2 linked regions of the Bombyx mori genome follow. The protein of the gene in region 2 interacts with the protein of the main gene of each other region in a biochemical or structural test. Links are inferred from orthologs where the notes say so. Each region holds a gene or a part of one and is shown on either strand. Other genes may lie near its edges.

What was found.
Region 1: of the proteins of HPO (region 2) and Iap, one has a biochemical effect on the other in vitro, tested with the Drosophila melanogaster proteins (2 studies listed by BioGRID). The link is inferred for Bombyx mori from reciprocal best matches to the Drosophila melanogaster genes hpo and Diap1.

The regions. Positions count from the first base shown.
Region 1 is NC_085129.1:8,324,952-8,328,324, reverse strand, and holds the end of Iap (inhibitor of apoptosis protein), read right to left. Parts: intron 3,066-3,373; coding exon 2,041-3,065; 3' UTR 584-2,040; downstream 1-583. UniProt on the Drosophila melanogaster protein: Anti-apoptotic protein which functions as a caspase regulator, using its E3 ubiquitin-protein ligase activity to smother caspase activity. Binds, ubiquitinates and inactivates initiator caspase Dronc, and effector caspases Drice and Dcp-1.
Region 2 is NC_085111.1:709,376-713,817, reverse strand, and holds the start of HPO (serine-threonine kinase-like protein), read right to left. Parts: upstream 2,806-4,442; 5' UTR 2,327-2,805; coding exon 2,199-2,326; intron 1-2,198. UniProt on the Drosophila melanogaster protein: Plays a key role in the Hippo/SWH (Sav/Wts/Hpo) signaling pathway, a signaling pathway that plays a pivotal role in organ size control and tumor suppression by restricting proliferation and promoting apoptosis.

The sequences.
Region 1 (3,373 bases), on a different chromosome or scaffold from region 2:
ATCCTCAACCCACGCTGGTTCTGACCCAGCGGGGTATTCCGTAGGATAGACCATTCTAACCGGCGCCATCTAGGCGGGCTTCGGATAGCCTGCCGACCGAGAGGGCTGGTGGTCGTGGCGCCGACGACCGCCAGTCCGGCGTCCCGAGGGGGAGGGTGATGGGAGAGATGTGCTCCGCACTAAACGCTTCACTTTCCCCCCCTTGCCTTTTCATGAGTTTTGTCTCATGCGAGGTTTGGACGTTGGTTGTTGAGAGACAGGAGGTTTTAGTCGGTTCGACTCCGACATGCCCCGCCCTCCATCCCCAGTGAAGGGCGGAAGTCCGGCGATTTCCTCCTGACAAAAAAAAAAAAAAAGGTCTTAAAATTGATAATATAAATGGGGACACTATCACAAACTTAACTTTTCAATATGATAACTGAAAAGTATGGAGTGGGCAGTTCTGAAAATGATTCGGTTGACACTTGCAGGTGTATATATTCGCGGTTACAATGTGCTTATAACGGAAAGTGTCAATTTAGTAATTTTTTTTAAATCCGAATATTCATCCTAACTGTAGAAGATTTCAAATAAAACTCAAATATTTGATTTAACATTTGTTTTAATGAATAACATTCAACAGTATGAAATAACTACTTATGAAACAAAATTTGACTGTTTAAATAAATTCTCTTACTATTTAGTGCACTCAGCAGTTATCACTATTTGTACCGTGCGATTCGTTAATTACCATTAATATGTTGATTTACAAAAATATATTGTGAAGTTATTCGTGAATATATGTTTGCCAAAGCAAGTATATATTAATGATATGACGTATAGATAATGGATACAATACGTTTTAGTTGTGTAGAAACTTGCAAATGGCTTGTGCGGGATTGTATTATACACCAATAAATAAATTCCCATTTTTTTATAAAAAAATCCTCAATGACATCTTAAAACGTTGAGTGTAAATATTGTTTACAACTAAATTAATGCAATCAACGAAACACTGGTTTGTCATACTACTTCGTAAAGCAGGAGTCACTAACAAAATTGTGTTTGTTTTCTGAACAATTAAAATTGACTTGTAAATGTAATTGATATGATTTTTTTTATCAGCAACAATGTAAAAATTTCAATTAAGGTGTTGGGGTTATTTCTTGATACATTAAAATCACAGAGCAGATTATACTTAAATGTTTTGTTAAAACAATAATTAGTATTCATACATTAAATGCAACTTTGCTCAATTTATTATAAATTTAGACATTTAGCATTATAATCACACCACACATTCAACTATTTTGAAGTGAGTTACATGAAATAAGTATTGGATTGTATCTTACGGAATTGCCATAAATTATGTCAGAATTAATCAATAAATAGTATATATTATATTATTTACAGGAACAAAATATAGTCACATTAAATAATTCCTGAATCAATTATAAGATTTTTCAAGCAAAAGAAGCGTAAAACTTGTTTCTTATATTAATTATGACGTTATTTAAACTCTGGATTTACATTAGAATTTTATCACTTCAACAGGGGAAGTGAAATCAGTAAAACATTCTTCAGACCATGTTACACTTCACTTGATTTCAGTGTATAAATAAGTTGTTAAAACATTTATATTGATGTCTCGTTAAAATTTTAATTTATATGTATAAATATATATCCTTAAATTCAAAAAGAAGGTCTTCGACTGTTGAAGTGATATGAAAACACCTATGTACATTTCACTTTTGTCGGTGGGACAAATTGATAATCTAAAATAATATGTACATTTATTTACTTACACTTTGTCATTAGAATTTTAAATAATAAATAAAATCATTTCAACATCAGTTTACAAGTTTACAAATCACTAACTCCTTCCTGCATGTCAACTCGCGAGTTCTGACGAGTTCCTATACATTGCCCCACCGCTATCAATTTGTAAATTTATTTAATGTAAAAATCACAGGATACGCGGTTTCGTTCGAAGGGTGGTTTCAGCACGCTTCAGGGCCGCCCGGTGAAGTGACTAGTATACAGCTCGCGAGGAGGGTCCTTTCACGAGAAGTAGAGCCGCACCGCATTCGTGAACGTCCTGCGACACATCGGGCACTTGTCCGTCGACAGCGCGCACTTGGCGCACGCCACCACGTGGCCGCACGGCACGAAGCACACGTTACGCTCCTCGGAATAACATATTTTACATATTTTAGAGTCATCCAAATGTTTCTCGCCCTCTTGAGCGACGTTGTTAGTCGAATCATTGGTGGCGGCCTGTTCTTCTTCGCTAGCAGATATCGCAGTGGCCTCCGACTTAACCTTCTGAATGTAGTCACGTCCTTTCACCAATTGCACGTACGCGCAGCGGTCGAACCATCTGGCGTGCTGTTCCCACGGAACGTCATCGCTTTCCCAATCTTTTAGCCCTCCGTCGCAATAGAAGCATTTCGTTTTGTCACCTTGGCCTGTATAGAAGAATCCGGCCTCTGCCAGTTCCTCGGGTTTTTGGCGCATACATCTCGGCCAGTCCTTGAAGGTGGCGAGCCGCGCGGCCTCGGTGGAGTACCGCGCGTGCACGGGGCCGGGCATGCGGGGAGGCTGCGTGGCCGCACTGGCCCCACATTCGTCTCTACCGACAGCGGCCGCCTCTCCCCCAGCGTTGGCATACATTTGTTTTCGTACAAAGGGACACTGGGGCGCCCATCTCCGATGATCGGCGGCAGGATCGTCGCCTTCGACCCACCTCATAATTTCTACCTTACAGAAAGCACAGCACACCTCGTCGCCGCGACCGAGGTAGTAGAATCCGTTGCGGGCCAATTGTTCCGGCGTCAAAAACGTAACGGGCCACTGATCAAATGTTTTCAGACGTTCCTCTTCACGACGCATGTCGGGCATATCAGGAAGGAAGTTGAATGTGTCGTGATTATCCGTTTTATCAGCTGACGACGACGGTGACGGGAGTGTGGATGTCGTTGAGGACTCGCATGAGGATAACATGAGCGGACCAATGAAAGGTCGCATTTTTGCATCCCGCGCATTTTTTAACATCACCAACGTGGCGGCAGCTCCATTTTTAGCAACTGTAACAACAGAATAAGTTCACATTACGCACTATCGATACATATAAACTAATTCAATCGTTAATTAGAATAACTTTCTTTAATAATTAGTAAGTGACGATTAAAATAGTACATTAATGAAATTGTTGTATCTGTAAACAACTATCAACTGTTAAATAAACATCGTAACAATAATTGAGTCGACTATTATCAAAGGCGGCAATCTGACTTTTGGACAATGATAGGTAAATCAGAAAAACGAATTATTGACTTTGTATTCCATTGGCAGTCACAAAACTCTTCGGAACGACATCTTAGATAAATAACAG
Region 2 (4,442 bases):
ATAATATTATACATTACGTGTACGCTATGATTCATGCTTCAAGTAGAATACTATGAGTACATATAATCAATAATTAGTTTTCGAGATGAGGGAAGGTTAAGCAGAAAATAATCGATCTCTTCCATGACACCGAAAATTGCAAAGAATTCGAGTTGTCGAAACTTGTGAATTACTGGTGGTAGGACCTCTTGTGAGTCCACGTGGGTGAGTACCACCACCCTGCCTAATTCTGCCGTGAAGCAGTAATGCGTTTCGGTTTGAAGGGTGGAGCAGCCGTTGTAACTATACTTAAGACCTTAGAACTTATACCTCAAGGTGGGTGGCGCATTTACGTTGTGGATATCTATGGGCTCCAGTAACCGCTTGACACCAGGTGGGCTGTGAGCTCGTCCAGCCATATAAGCAATAAATAAAAAAAAAATAATAATCATTGGTTTATACCGTAACAGGTATTTCAAAAATTCAATTTAATTTAAATAAATATTCTTTTCGCTTTCTCCATTTACGTTTCAACTCACATCGGTTGTTAAAAGCTCATCGTTAAAGATAACACTGCATTCTTTAATAACTTAAATACGTACCATATGCTGATACTATGACAAGCAGTCATTTACGTAAAGCATTTTACGCGGTAAACCAAAATTATTGATGAGAGTTTGTACATCAACGAAAGTTCTCGAAATAATTCCAAATCCAGGTTTCTGCTAAGATGCTACAGTTCTCCAGCGCTAATTTCTAAGTAATAAACCCAATACGTGTTCATGAATGACTTTCACGATTTAAAAATAATATCGTGGTACAAAATTAAATACACGTGTGGCTATAGAGCGGGTTGTATCTGACCAATTGACCCACTGGTTTGTGGTATTGATGGTCTGGGGAACTGTTTTGCACGAAGTGGGCTGTAAACTCGTCTCGGCCAAACCATACCCAAAAAATGCTCCTAATATAAAGAAAACCATGGTCGACAGATAAAAAGGTTGTTAAGATGCGTGAATTATCTTTATTCTGGTTCTTTATATTTATATCAATAACAAGATTGTGTTTATGTCTTCATCCGATTTCTCCAGTATTGTAATCGGCTTCCCGGAGTGCCATTGTTGTCAGCCTCGGGTTCAACAAACTCTTCTTTTTTATTACGTACTTTGTTTTACGAAAAGTTTAATGATCGAAATGAAATGAAGTTGGTTTATTGCAAATTAATTATGGTATGAATTTTAATGAAACACGATGAAATAAGTTAGCGTCCTAAAATAGTGGGAATTGCAATGATACTTCAATGAGCTTCTTGTTAGATCCCGAGAGGACACATGCAAGATTATTGTGAATTTATTTCATTAAGCAAAACCAGATTGAATACTAAATGAACTAATTCAAACAATTCTCAGAATTTCATTCCTCTCGCTCCCGCCAGAAAGTTTGTTTTAGTGTCATTAATTTTGCCATGCAACATGAATTGAATTCTTAGCATACGTTGAACACGTGATTCTTACAGACTTACAAACTGAACGCGACAGGAATATCACATTCAATTTTCACAATACATTAACTCTACTCGTAATCAAACAGTTAGAAAAATGTTGTGAGATCATGTCTACCAACAGACGATCGATCGGACCTAATATTGCGATTAAACAATGTCAGATCTCCAATTATGAGAAATAGTGAGAATCTTTACAGTTATATACCGCTAAGTGGCGACTCAGCGATGAGAAAATCGTACGAGCACCAAACAGAAACAAAGTATACAAAAAAATCGTATATCAAAACGGATGCTACGATAACAAACAAAATACAACTAACTATTCAAACAGTCATTATTTCACAAGGAAAAACAGGTTTCCGATACCGACACAAGCTATTTAGTTACGGGGAAACGGAGACGTGATTCATTCTAAAATTATTTCCCGTGTTACAGACGATTCCAGTTCAAACTTTAAGTATTTTACTCTATATTTTCATACAATTGCTGCATATTATAAAGCCCTTTTTAACGTTTTGAGGCACTCATCATATCACAGAGTATGTGCGCGATACTGCATTGAGCCGTATCTATATTCAAATGTTAAGCGTAGTAAAAGAAGTTGTGATAGCAGATAGTATTGGTAGACTTACTAAGCCTGATCTCATCATCATCAAGTTATGGTGTGATGACATTTCAAACATTTCATTGAATAAATATTGAAATGATCACAAACCCTTGAGGTCGCTCGTTGGCGCTCATCCTGTCCGCGCGACGTTTCTTGCAGGTGTTGCAGTTTAGGGTTGGAGCTCCGCCCTCCCACACTCCACTCTTCCAGAATATTAGACGACCCTCACTGTCCATGAGGGTGCGGAAATCACACTATCCCATACATAGCGATTTTCAAAATACGGAGATTGTCGCCAGCAAAATTATATCGGTGAAGGCGTCAAAGATTCAGCTCTTTACACAATCTTCAAGATCACTGGTGCACCGTAACTCGTGAACGTCTCTTCACAAATGCATGCGATAGTTTATTTGTCGTGTAAACATACGACATGCCTATCGTTTGACATGGGGTTTACGGTCCATGTGGCATTCGACACACATGTGTGCATTAGATAAGCATTTTGTATCGATGAAAATATCGTCTAGAAAACGCATCGAACCATTAAAGTTTTTGGGTTTTTCAACAGTTTACATAACAACCAAACTGCGAGACAATCTTGATGAGAACAACAAAACTTTACGCCGAAAATAAACATGTGTATCTTTTGTAAAGATTATTATTAGCTCATTTTATATGGGAGACAGCGTGTCCGCCCTCGTCGACGTCACAAACCAGACTGCGTGAAGTGAACCCAAAAGCAATTTACTTCAGGTTTCACAGCATTCGAGTGCTCAGAGTTCAAAACTCGGTCTAGACAGTATTCAGATGTCTAGATATTGCAAGAAAAACGAAATCTAAAATTCAATGAGTCTTTTACATTATATAAATAAGTATTAACTTGACATAAAACAACAGAACGATTCTGGCAAGCGATTAATGAAATAAATATTTTAGTGGAAGGTAGGTAGTCCCATACTTCTCAGATGTTCAAAATTCCTAAACACCACAACTCACACATCTCTACAAAGTTATTTCACGAAATAATGACATATCGAAACGGGCACGTGAGCTCTAGTTATATGATGATGCGGGGTGTTGGTCTATCTATAAATAAATTTCTAACTAGCTACAACATTACAACTCTAACCTTTTTATTCGTTTTTTTTAGCACCAACAAATATAAGTTTGAGGTCGTAAATAGCAAGTATTGGGTATCACGAAAAAGATACGGAGACCCAGGCGTATATTTTGGCAAATCGATACTAAATATTTAGTAGCGATTCGGTAGCCACGTGAAGTCTATTTACCACTAACCTAACCGATACTTCCATCCGACCGTTGTTGGAATGGGAGAAATCGTAGAATGACGATTCATTTCTTATTTTTCTGTGATGGATAAAAGTGTATGGTATCACTCAAAATGTGGATAAAAGTGTACGGTATCACTCAAAAGCAAGTTAACTATATTAAGTGTTTATAATAATATTTTATTGACGACAAAATGACAACTGAATGCTCATTATTGTCTAACTTAGGTAGTACTTAACGTATTGTAAATATCTAATTAACTACATCAAAATATTTTATACGGAAAGAAAAAGGAAATTAAAAAACCGCGCTACAAGACGTAGCTATCAATGAGGGTATCTTAAGAAAAATATGTACTAGTGTTTTAGAAGAACCCAAAATCATATTTAATTGAACAATGCCCAAAGAAAAACAAACATAATTTGCAGCCCATTAGAAAAAGCAAGGGTAATATAGTTTCAATTACAAGTATGATTAATGCCGCTTCGAATGACATAGAGGCATAAATTAAAGATAAGTTTGAGATTCATCCACAACGGCTGGACGTTGTAACTGAGTTCTGTAAAATATACCAATCGGTCCAAAACATCATCGTCTATATTGTCTGTACAATCGGCAAATGACATGATCCTAAAACACAGCTAATAATTAGACAAGCTGTACTTGAATATACTAACGTGATTCAATTGCGAAAAGTATGAAATGAAATCATGAAATCACCTAAGATTATTAATTACCAAAACATGCGATTACCATTACCATTCAAATTGTCAACAATCAGGATATTAGTTGGGCTCACAGAACAACGAATATAAAAATGAATGGACAAAATAAGTTTTCGGTAGCTATGTTCATAATCTCATAAACGAACACCTACAAGAACATCATCTAATTACTAAAGCAAAATGATAACAGGCGTTTCGTTAAGACCAAAATAGCAGAACAGTCGGCAAAACGGTTTTGTTTTCGTTTACCACCGACCAGTTCAATGAACGGAGAGCCTGCGTCCGAACCAATGCCGCTTGTGTTTCATACATTGTTATGTTAAGTACACAGTTTACG